Drosophila melanogaster: one gene and its partner. The protein of the gene in region 1 binds, or shares a complex with, the protein of each later gene. Each region holds a gene or a part of one and is shown on either strand. Other genes may lie near its edges. A codon is read from its position in the direction of its gene.

What was found. Proteins that work in one complex are often made in the same cells at the same time.
Region 2: the proteins of ave (region 1) and cnk are in contact, whole or in part, in a crystal structure (PDB 8BW8), measured with the Drosophila melanogaster proteins. Residues at the interface, in NP_725413.1 of Drosophila melanogaster: Tyr24 (codon at 1,283), Gln51 (codon at 1,202), His52 (codon at 996), Asp53 (codon at 993), Ile54 (codon at 990), Arg57 (codon at 981), Ala58 (codon at 978), Arg61 (codon at 969), Ile62 (codon at 966), Thr63 (codon at 963), Ser66 (codon at 954), Arg69 (codon at 945), Met70 (codon at 942), Glu79 (codon at 915), Trp82 (codon at 906), Arg83 (codon at 903), Val86 (codon at 894), Lys87 (codon at 891), Arg89 (codon at 885), Leu90 (codon at 882), Lys91 (codon at 879), Asp93 (codon at 873), Ile94 (codon at 870), Glu96 (codon at 864), Ile97 (codon at 861), Arg98 (codon at 858), Met100 (codon at 852), Glu101 (codon at 849), Leu103 (codon at 843), Asn104 (codon at 840); in NP_001286524.1 of Drosophila melanogaster: Pro47 (codon at 5,160), Glu51 (codon at 5,148), Leu56 (codon at 5,133), Arg57 (codon at 5,130), Ile58 (codon at 5,127), Gly59 (codon at 5,124), His60 (codon at 5,121), Gln61 (codon at 5,118), Glu62 (codon at 5,115), Leu65 (codon at 5,106), Glu66 (codon at 5,103), Glu69 (codon at 5,094), Lys110 (codon at 4,912), Ile111 (codon at 4,909), Asp112 (codon at 4,906), Thr113 (codon at 4,903), Leu116 (codon at 4,894), His117 (codon at 4,891), Ile119 (codon at 4,885), Thr120 (codon at 4,882), Arg121 (codon at 4,879), Ile123 (codon at 4,873), Lys127 (codon at 4,861), Val130 (codon at 4,852), Glu134 (codon at 4,840), Arg139 (codon at 4,825), Arg145 (codon at 4,807), Cys148 (codon at 4,798), Gly149 (codon at 4,795), Leu152 (codon at 4,786).

Annotation. Positions count from the first base shown.
Region 1 is NT_033778.4:14,750,479-14,753,941, reverse strand, and holds ave (aveugle), read right to left. Parts: upstream 1,422-3,463; 5' UTR 1,353-1,421; coding exon 1,200-1,352; intron 1,150-1,199; coding exon of another isoform or gene 1,106-1,149; exon of another isoform or gene 1,032-1,105; intron 997-1,031; coding exon 829-996; 3' UTR 673-828; downstream 1-672. Other genes in the region: CG10151 (uncharacterized protein), read left to right, coding at 52-470; Rpn6 (regulatory particle non-ATPase 6), read left to right, coding at 1,106-1,149, 1,902-2,226, 2,291-2,797, 2,947-3,159, 3,226-3,456. UniProt on the Drosophila melanogaster protein: Required for normal photoreceptor differentiation between Ras and Raf for EGFR signaling in the eye and for mitogen-activated protein kinase phosphorylation. Probably acts together with Cnk to promote Raf activation, perhaps by recruiting an activating kinase.
Region 2 is NT_033778.4:17,414,008-17,422,084, forward strand, and holds the start of cnk (connector enhancer of ksr), read right to left. Parts: upstream 6,001-8,077; 5' UTR 5,462-6,000; coding exon 5,404-5,461; intron 5,241-5,403; coding exon 5,077-5,240; intron 5,018-5,076; coding exon 566-5,017; 3' UTR 1-565. Other genes in the region: l(2)k01209 (lethal (2) k01209), read left to right, coding at 7,680-7,939.

The DNA.
Region 1 (3,463 bases):
AAGTTGCTAATATTCTGTCTCCAATGTACTAAAAAAAAGTTCAATTTTCAGCAATGAGAATCCTTCTTCGTCAGTTGCTGAACTCGCAAAACGAAGCCAACGAGATCCAACACAATCGTTTATCCCTGGAACGCGAGCGCCTGGACTGGGAGAAGTCTATGGGCGAGCGTCTGTTAAACCTGTTGCCAAGTCTCATGCAGCCGCCACCTGCAGCCTCGCCATGCTCCACGGCTCAACGTCTTCAGCCGCCCAAGCTGCTCTTCACAACTGCTCTGCCAATGGGCAATGGCACCGTCACCATGCCGCACATCCTAACATCCAATTCGCTGCCAAAAGTGATTACCACTTCAAGTTGCAACAGCGGCGTGGCAGTGGCCGGATCAGGAGTGGGCCTAGTAGCCAGTGTGGCCCCCAAGCCGGTAGATAACGACGTCCAGTTGATTTCGCCCAAGCTGGAAAAGGAGATCTGATTAAGAGGAACTAGTCGTTATAAGTGATTGATATTAGAAACACACTTAAGTGATCTCAAAGAAATGATATTCTGGTCTTTACTTTAGTAGACTCTAAAACCAGTATCCTAATAATAAAAACCAAAGAAATCTCTCATTCTAGGGTTATTTTCATATTTAAAATGATGGGCAATAAGCAATAATTAGTCAATATTTAAATTTAATCTAGAATTTTGCGCTCTTATATATTTGATTAATAGCATACATGATTGTCTAATCTAAAACCAGATATGGCGTCTAAGAATCTTAAAAAGAAAGTTTACAAAATACGCATTAACTATTCTCCTATTACAGCAAATAAAACGAGTATATCGTGACCCTAGTAAATATTGAGCCTTTCCATATCCCGGATTTCCATGATATCCGTCTTCAGTCGCTGCTTAACGATCTCCCGCCAAATGGCTTCCCGATCCCGGTTGTCCGTCACGCCCATTCTTTGCAGTGAGGAGTCTGTGATCCGGAGTAGAGCCCTTCCGGTTATATCGTGCTGTGTACATGGAAAGAAATTAAACAAGATCAGTAGGCAGTTATAGTGATGTCTAAATTTTAGCAAAAGGTAACCGGGAATTTTCCTGTTTGTGTTTTGAGGTGCTGAAATGACGGAACTGCTGAAGGAAAACCGTTCCAACGAGGCTCGACGGTAAGTGAAGTAGATCAAGGACTACGATTTGGATTGTGGGCTCAACTCACCTGGGCGAAGAGCTGCTCATACTGGGTGTATTCACCGCAGTGGCGGCGATACCACTTGAGCACATCGCTAACTGTCCACAGGTACACTGCCTTCGGTCGCGTAGTTTTCGTTCTGGTTTTGTTTTGCGTTGAGTTAATAGTTTCTTCACCCATTTCACAAAAAACAAATCGAGAAATTTAAGATTTATTTGCAAATAGCAACAAAACAAATAGTGATGGTAGCTAGGCGATATTAATTAGGTGTGAGACAAGATATCGATTACAGTTGTATTACTGTAATGTAAATATAAAAAAATGTAAATTAGGGGTGACACAATCGGCCGATAAGTTCCCTAATCCGACTGATTTAAATCAAAGGTATAAACGATATCCTAAGAAATTCACGAGTTGTGTGCGATATATCGACAACAAGCACTAGTACGACATTCGTGGCCTATCGATGCCCGCTAAGACTCGCATATCGAAATCGCACCAGCTCTAATCGTGACTGGCGCTTAATAACAACGACCGAAAGGTGAAAAAGTCAGCATTAAACACGTAAATACGCAATCAATACACACCGGAAACGATCGAACACAAAGAAAAAATTGTCGCATTGCTAGTAGCTGAGTTGAGACAAGCTTAGTTGATTGATTGATTAGTAAATTTTTGAGTTGAGCGCCCCCACATCTCATCTCGTCTCGTCCGAACACAAATTTCAAGTCGCAAGATGGCCGGAGCAACACTTTTCGAGCGTGCCCAGGCATTGTCCAGCGTGAATCGCGAGGAGCAGGATAGTTCGCTGCTGAACAAACTGGTCCGCGACCAGGAGGGCGCCGAGAACGATGAGGAGCGCATCCGAATCAAGGAGCAGGGCATTCTGCAGCAGGGCGAGCTCTACAAGCAGGAGGGCAAGGCCAAGGAGCTGGCCGATCTCATCAAGGTGACGCGTCCGTTCCTCAGCTCGATCAGCAAGGCCAAGGCGGCCAAGCTGGTGCGTTCGCTGGTGGACATGTTCCTGGACATGGACGCGGGCACAGGCATTGAGGTGGGTTCTTTTTTCACTCATTGACTACTAGAATTTACTAGAAAATTCTTTGTTCGATCTCTAGGTTCAATTGTGTAAAGACTGCATTGAGTGGGCCAAACAGGAGAAGCGCACATTTCTTCGCCAATCGCTGGAAGCTCGTCTGATTGCCTTATATTTTGATACTGCTTTGTACACGGAGGCCTTGGCTCTGGGTGCCCAATTGCTGCGCGAGCTGAAAAAGCTGGATGACAAGAATCTGCTGGTGGAAGTGCAGCTGCTGGAGAGCAAAACCTATCACGCACTGAGCAACCTGCCCAAGGCTAGGGCCGCCCTCACCTCAGCCCGCACCACGGCCAATGCTATCTACTGTCCGCCAAAGGTGCAAGGCGCACTGGATCTTCAGTCCGGCATCCTACATGCGGCTGATGAGCGTGACTTTAAGACCGCATTCTCCTATTTCTACGAGGCCTTTGAAGGATTCGACAGCGTGGACAGCGTCAAGGCCTTGACCTCGCTTAAATACATGTTGCTGTGCAAAATCATGTTGGGACAGTCCGATGATGTCAACCAGCTCGTCAGTGGAAAGCTGGTAAGTTATTAAGTGCAGTCCGAAATAAGTTTGCGTCAGCAGTTGTAATGTTCTACATATACATATTATGTAAATGAATTATTATCTAACAACCAAATTGTTGTGTAGATTTAATCAATTTATCTTACAAATATAATTGTCATTACCAGGCTATTACCTATTCGGGCCGCGATATAGATGCTATGAAATCAGTGGCTGAGGCTTCACACAAACGTTCCCTGGCCGACTTCCAGGCTGCCCTCAAGGAATACAAAAAGGAGCTCGCCGAGGATGTGATTGTGCAGGCGCATTTGGGCACGTTATACGACACCATGTTGGAGCAAAACTTGTGCCGCATCATTGAACCCTACTCTCGTGTGCAGGTGAGATAGATTATAACGTCTTGGCTTGTTTGCCCTCACTAAAATCTGTTTTTTTCCTATTGGCAGGTCGCCCATGTTGCCGAGAGCATTCAGCTGCCCATGCCGCAGGTGGAAAAGAAGCTGTCCCAAATGATCCTGGACAAAAAGTTCAGCGGCATTCTGGATCAGGGTGAGGGAGTACTGATTGTTTTCGAAGAGACGCCCGTGGACAAGACCTATGAACGCGTGCTGGAAACCATACAAAGTATGGGTAAGGTGGTGGACACACTGTACCAGAAGGCTAAGAAGCTGTCGTAAGCGGTGT
Region 2 (8,077 bases), 2.7 Mb from region 1:
TTTCGTGTAATTGTGTATATATATATTTCTTGCATTCCGCTACAACATTTCTGGCTCCATTGGCGTCGCTGGATGCCATTACAATAATATCTCATTTCGCATAATAATATATGTATATTACACGCAATCTAGACACAAACTGTTGAGCAAATCAAACAGCTCGGATTAACTTGGTTAATCGCGTACAAAGGCAAATCATAAAGAACCGTCTTTGTTCGATGCACAGACTTCTAAAGTTATTCTCCATTTTCGCTATAATTCATTGTTTTGCTTGCGTGACTACATGTGTAAAACATTTTGCCTAGAACCGAAATACAATGCAAATAAGGCAGATTAAACATTTACATCTAAGTGGGTTTCGAATCGAAGGGATTGCAGGTATGCGTGTGTTTGTTTCTGGTGGACAGACAGGGAAGACGATCAAAATGAACAAGTTGTATACCTAAATCGTACGAGAATATCGCTATATATAATATATATATATATATCTATATGCGTGTGTATAAATACATAAGTAAACGGGGGCTAATCCCCGCGAGCATTCACAATAGTTTTCATCACACATCTAGGTCTGATGGTGTTCGCCGCCACTGGGACTGCTGTTGGTGTTGGTGTTGTTATTGGTGTTATTATTGTTGTTGTTGTTGTTGGTGGTGGTGGTGCTGGCGGTGGCACTGGTGGCACCACTGCTGCTGGGCGTCCGCATCACGATGCGGGACAAGCTGGTATCGCTGAGCGAGTAGATTTCCGGCTCAAAGACAGGCGGACACTCCATATTTGGATAGTCCGGCGTTGCCGCCTTCGAATCCACAGATCCCGAACTGGACACTTTTGGGGTGGCCGCACACTCTGATATCGTTGCCTCCGCTTGCTCCTCCTCTCTCTGCCTGCTGGTGTTGACGGGAGGCGGTGGCGCTGGGGGCAACGGCGGCTGCAAGCCCTCCGACGAGCACAAATTAGTGGTCGAGGTGGTTAGTATGCCAGGTCCACGGTAACTTCGATATCCCGCCTGATTGTGCGTGGGCAGGGTGATTTGGGAGAAGATCTCCTGATCGCAATCGGGATCCGCACTGCTTGGTGGCGTTACTGCCTGCTGCTGATGGTGATGGTGCCCGAACAGCGTGCGATGCAGCAGCGGTGAGCCCAGGAAACGATTCTCCTTGGAGGGCTTCGCCGGCGTGCCACCCGATATGGAGAGTTTCGAAAAGATTGGTATCGGGGCCGAGTTCTTGCGATGCGCATCGTACTTGGTGCCCACTATCTTGTCTCGCAGATCCTGATTGTACGTCTGGCTTTTCTTGATGCTGCTGCCGCTGCCGATTATGGTGACTCCATTGCCTACGGCTCCATCCAAGGCGTGATTCGATTTGGACTTCTTGTTCAGCGGCAGCGTCATAGTCATCGCATGACCCGGCCCACAGCCACTGCCCGCGGAGCCAGTTGAGTGCTTGGAAAAGGGAAACCGACGATCGCCGCTAGACTTTCCTTTGGACTTCTTTTGATCCGCACCGGATCCGGAACTCTTGCCGCTGCCGCCGCTGCTGTTCTTGTGCAGGAAACTGGAGAGCTGTAACTGCTGTGAGCGCAAGAAGTGCTTGGCCTTGCTGCTATGTTGCTGCTGCGTCTGCTGATGTTGTAGCTGCTGCTGCTGTTGCACATGCTGCAGGTGGTGCTGGTGATGATGATGATGATGGTGGTGCTCTTGCCGGCTGATGGAGCTAGTGCTCGGCTCATCCCCACATATCAGCTCGTAACCAAAGTCGCGCAACTTCTGACCTTCCTTAGTTCTGGTTCTCTTAATACTCTCGTCGTCAGGCTTAAAACTGATCTCGTAGTCGGGTGTTTTGGGCAGACTCACGCTCTGGATCTTGGGCAACTTTTCCAGCGGCTTTGTCACGCTGCTGCTCATGGCGCTCTGCTGACTGGCCGTGGATTCCGTCCGTGCGTGCTTGTGCTTCTCCACACCCAAGTGCACTCGATTGTTGTACATTTCCTGGGCCTCCTCCTCCTGTTTGCGCAGCATCAGATCCTTAAGCGTCACAAAGCCCTGTATATTATGGCCATGGTCGAGTGTATTACCCACACTCATCTTGGGGAGTAGTGTTTTCGAGGTATGGAAATCGAATTCCACCAAATTCGGATTTGAGGCGTGCAAGAAGTTGAATGGTGCCTTCTTCAAACTCGACTTGCTACTGGGACTCTGGCTCTGGCTCTGACTTGGACTCTCCTCGGAGCTCTGATGCTGCAGCGATGTGGGAGTGGCTGTAGGCGTGGGCGTTGGCGCTGGCGACGCGGGCGGACCCAGAATCGAAGCAGATAATGATACGGCAGACTCGGTTCCACTGACCACCGAACTCCTACTTGAGCTACGCGACAGTTTAGGACCCACCAAAGGTGGAATCTGTGTCGGCGGCATTGCGGGATCATGGTAGCCCGGTGTATTGGCACCAATCTGAATGCCAAAACTTCCGCCTGGCACCTTCCTATAGCTGCGGTATTGCTCCGTTGGCACAGGGATGTCGCTCGACGGTTTCGCTGCACTGCTCTTGAATGTATTCGTAAATTTGCGAAACGAGTCCAAGTAGCCGCGTTCATGCTTAATGGGTGCAGAGGAAGGTGGTGTTCCGCCAGATAGTGTCATCGACATGGACATTGACTCCTTGTTGCCTTGCGGCGAGGGCGTGCTTAAATTCTGGATCACAAGGGCATCGCATTCCTCGCCTGAGCTATCGTTCTCCGAATACAAATCCTTTGCGTCACCACCGCCTTTTGAACCCGTACTAGGCGGCACTTTGAGCGAAGCCTGGCGCAAGAAGTCCACCCATTGGTTAAGTGCGTCCAGCGACTCGGCCGCAAAGTAGAAGCTCTTGGCCGTGTGGTAAACTTTAAAGGCATGCGGTTTGGAGTGCACTTCTTTTGCCAATGAAACCGTAAAGCCCGGTAAAAATATTACCAAGCTGGCGCTGGTACTCTGCTTACTGCGAAATCCGTACAGTATCGTATCCAGCATCACGAAATAGATTCTCGCCCAGTAAGTCACTCCGCGATGATTTTTCTTGCGCCTGTACAGATGACCTTGGATATCCCCAGTCCCCAACAGCTTGAGATTTGTGTTCCGCCGCTTGGCCATTAAGCTGTGCTTCTTTTTAAGGGTCAGTGTCCGGGATTTGCTGGGCGTATGAAGCTCACTGATCTCCGATGGATCAACTGCGGCTGGTACAGGTACTGGCACGGGAATGGAGATACTGGTGATACTACTAGCCGGCTGCATGCTGGCTGGTTTTGGTGGAGGTGGAGGCACCGCCGGTGGCGTCATTTCCCTTTGCTTGCGGGGTCGCGGTGGCGGTGCTGGCGGTGTGACAAGCAGGAACTCCTTTCTTGGCTCAATCGCTGGCGGCGTATCCGATTCTTCACCCGAATTATCGTATGCCGGAGTACTATGACTCTTGTCTAATCGGCCCCTTCGACCTTGCTGCAACAAAGGCATGTTAATGGCCTCGGCCAGGGGCAAGTCCTGACCTTTTGTAGCCAGATTAATTGCCTCTAGGAGCTCCTCTGCGTTTTCTGTTTTGCAGTTGCGCAGCGTTTCCAAGGCGTCCTCGTCTCCCTCATCCGCAAAGGGAATCGGTTCAAAGGTCTCCAGTATGGTGTTCTCAACGTTACAGATAAATTTTTCATTCTTCATCACATAATCTTCCTTGGCGTCGAACCGAACTACTTTGCTGACACCCGGCTTGTAACGATCCACGAGGAATTCGCGCTGCGAGTCCTCCGTCAGCTGCTTTAGTTTTCGCGCCTCATGAAACATTCGCCTGGCCTTGTCCGTGGAGGTATCGCCCGCAATCCCAATGCAAGTGGTCGGCCTTGCTGCCATCTCTAGGCCATAACCGAAGGATATCGACTTATCCCGTATACTGGGCGAGCCAGGGTCGCAATTGGTGGGCGAACCAATTCCTGGCTTTCTTTCGTGCCACGATGGAACGACTAGATCCGAGTTTTTCAGGCTAAGATACTCGCATCCACAAATAGTGTTTCTTCGTTGGAGCAAAGCTCTTGGCTTTGGGTAATACAAACGGATCTCCCGTGCGGCTAGCTTGGGATCCGTTGGTGTTGGAATATCACTGCAACTGGAATCAGAGTCGGAGGCAGAGGACACTGGATTGGCCTTGGTAAGTACCTCCCTCTTCTCACTGCTTAGGGATTTACTGGGATCTGGCACCGCGCTTCCTGTTCCTCCTGTTGCCAGTTGCTCCGTGTCCAGGGTTAAAAATGCAGCACGGGGACTTGGCATCTGTGCCGCCCAGCGGGCGGCCATATTCCTCTTCTTGCTGGGCAACCTGTACGGCTGCATATAGATCTGTCCAAACATCTTTGTGTGCTTCGGCCGTTTCTTCACCGTCAGCACCACATCTGGAAGTGCTTCCCTCAGATGCTCCAGTACTGTGCGATGCTGCCAGCCCACAACGGTCTGGTAGTTGATCTGCACAATCTCGTCGCCATCTTCGATTTTTCCGGAATTGTGAGCTGGCGAGTTGTACTTGATATCCGTGACACGGTGAATGCCATTATAACTGGACTCTATGTTGAAACCCAACTCGGATTCGCGTTTTTTAAGGGTGACAAGGTTCAGAGAGGCTGGCTGCAGTACCATGGGATCAGATATGTCCTGGATTACAAAGTTGGCAAGATTCTCGAGCCGTTCCGCTGACTGTCGAATCGCTGGCACCGGCTGCAGGGCAAAACGATCACGGTGGGCAATTGTGGCCAGCTCCAGGCCGCATTTGAGCACATTGCCACAATACTCGCGGTACATCTCCTGCTTACGGAACGGTGTTCGCTCCAGGCTGCCCACCAATGGCTTTAGAGTAGCTATCGTCCTGGTAATATCGTGCAGTATCCGGGTATCGATCTTAGTGCTCTCCGCATGATTCCTGGCCAGTTCGCGATGCAGATTCTTAGCTGCCGTGGCCACATGCAAGGCCATGAACTGCAGATTGTCGTTTTTCAGGTGATAATGCTGGAATATCAAGCTCAATTAACGGGTTTGTATGTCACAATATTTGTTTGGGGTCTCACGAAGTTTCTTAAGTTCTCCACCGCCTCCAGCACGATCTCCTGATGGCCAATGCGCAGCATGCCCAGATTCTCCAGCTCGTATGGCCGTATGTTGAGCAACGCCCGTCCGCCGATCTCCTGCTTGGAGAACTCGTACAAATACCCCTTCATAGACTCATCCAGACCTGCGAGAATCAGGAAAACATAATTATTATGATGTGCCTGTTGAAACCTTGAACAAAGCGGAAATTCTTGTTGCACTTGTTGTTGCTGCTGCTTTTTGGGGCAGTGGCTGCGAGATGCAGTTTTTTTTTTCTCAGCTGCGCTTTCCTTGACCTCGAGCATTACCTTTTATCCAGTCGGTGACCTGGTCGGGCGTCCACTCGGCGATGTTGATGTAGGCCATCGCTGCTGCTGCTGATGATCCGCGCTGGGCCGCACCTACGGCATATTATCAATTCGTGCTGCAAAAACACTCGAACCAAGTTCAGAATTGCTATATTGTTGCGTCTCTCTGGTCCGGAGTGACCATCTTTTAGAGCTCGAACAATACTCGGTGCTCGTTAAATACTATCGAACTAGCGTGGCAATCGATTATTTAATGCATTTTAAAACTGAACAAAATGCAATTTATTCAAAGTTTCTTTAAGGGACAGAACAAGAGGAAAGAAAACTATAAATTATGATACTACTACATACTACTTTCTCCATCCAAGATAGCCAGGAAACAGCCACATGTTTCTGTATGTGTTTATTTTTATAGTCTTAATTAATATGAATTTGGCTTGCAGTGCAAGAGAGTAAGAGTAACAGTTATCGATAGAGGACCAACAAAAAATAATCGAATTGGTAATTGTCTCATGTTGATATATTTTCCGAGCACTACCGCTATTTACAACCTTTTATTTGTTAGTACCTAAAGATCATGTTGTAAGCTAATCTTTTAGAAACCACAAAGTTTTATGTAAAATATTCACTTATATTGACACAAGCTCGAAGTAATAATTATCAAACATTTAAAAACCCCGCTTCGGATTTAGCCATTCACATTCGAATTTACTGCAACCCAACAGCCAACAGCGCTTCGCAACACTGTCGCCGCCCCAATCAAACAGCTGAGCGCCTTGCGAATGGAATTGAATTGCCCCAAAACATATAAATAAATGCCTCAATGACAGCATCAAATGGAGATAAACAAGGCAATGAGCGTCCCTCCGCTCCAGTGCCTTTCCCCAGCTGACAATTAGCACTTTACTTGACCATTCAAGCTCGGGTAGATGTATACATATGTATGTATACGAAGGCGGCGCACGTTTTTCCAACGCAATGCCTTCAGAAACGAATCAGTCACTTGCTCGGAGAGGGAGAGGCACGACGAAGTAAATCACCGCGTGTTTTTTTCTAATCGCTGCAACTGGCTGCTGCAATCACTATTCTCTTGTCGAAATGTCTGTGACCCAGACGAAACAAATCAAGTTCTACAACCCATCGAGTTCCGCTAGCTCCGACAGGTAACGAACGACTTTTTAATGCCGCATTAATTCACGCACGGCCAAAAGTAAAGTGTGAAAATCCAACAGAAGTCATTAGAATGTGATACACACTCACACACACACCCGCGCACAAACATATCTAAAGAGCATGTGCTCCAAGTCATTCATCGTATGTACGTACGTACCTACTTACATGTGTGCGTCGTGGGGCCTCTAATCACGCAATATAAATAAATGCTGGGAAAATGGCATAGGGCCTGCGTTCGCAAACACCACTACATGTGCAAACGCATAACATGTGATAAATTCAATTTCGATATAGTCGCCGGTTGCATCGGATCGGAAGAGAGTGTGAGAGAGAAGGCAAAGCGAACACCCTGCGAGAACAGTTACAAGCTAGGGATGGGCGCGTCAGCGAGTAACTTGTAATGTTGCAGTTTGAAAAAATAATATTCATACCACAGAAACATTATTAAAATAACTTTGGTGCGATCCGTGGAATGCTATAAAAAATTACTTGTGTATAAGTATATGTAGCGTGAAATATTTTATGATTTTATGCGCCTAAAAATTAGAATATTTTTTTCTCTAACAAATTAAATATCCTTCACTTAACAAAAGTAAAAGAGACATTTGTTATGCAAATTTGGCTAAAATGTAGAGCACATCTTCGACTGAGTCGTGTCACGCCAAACCTCATGTACCACATGCCCACCTCTATGAAGGCTTGCGACAACAACAATGCAGAGACGACGCCGGCAGAGGAAACCGCAGCGCAGCGCAGCTTTTTAACCTTAGCTGCCTTAACACTTTTTCTTGTCATTCAATCCCCAAACGCCGCTCACCTCGCACTTCTCGCTACACCTTTGGCTTAATTTTTTGTTTTCATTAGTTATCGAATAAATATTGGCCGCAACGCAAAAGGTGAATCGCTGCGTACGAAATAAAAACTCTAAATCACATGTGATCCACGCCGGCGGCGATTCGCGTGAGCGTTGTGTGAGTGAGTGACCCATTTTGGCTTGGCATCGCCGGTTGCTGTGTTCTTGCTGCCTCCACATCCAAGTTCTCACGCCCACGCCGACGGACTGAGTGATTCAAAATCGCTGGCAGATCGGGATCGGGCTAAAAATGAGCAGCATCACGTTTTTGTGCAGCAAGTCGGGCCACAACACCAACAACAACAGCATTAATAGTAGCAATAACGATGTTCCAAAAGGGGCAAAAGCGAACTCAGCATTTGCAGCCGCATCCGCCGGTTTACTAACCATCGCAAACCACCAGCAGCAACAGCTACTTCAGCAACCACATCAACAGCAGCAGCAACAACAACAACAGCATCATCAGCAGTCAAAGGTTAAGGCTATAGCAGCCAAAACCAATGGTCACATGTAATTCATTGCATTTTCCCCATTTCTTAACGTAAAAACCAATCGAAGTCCCATTTTACATACCAGACGTTCATATATGTATGTTTGTACATTCATTTGTAGAGAGGCATATTTGTGTGTGTGTGTTTGTATTTGAGT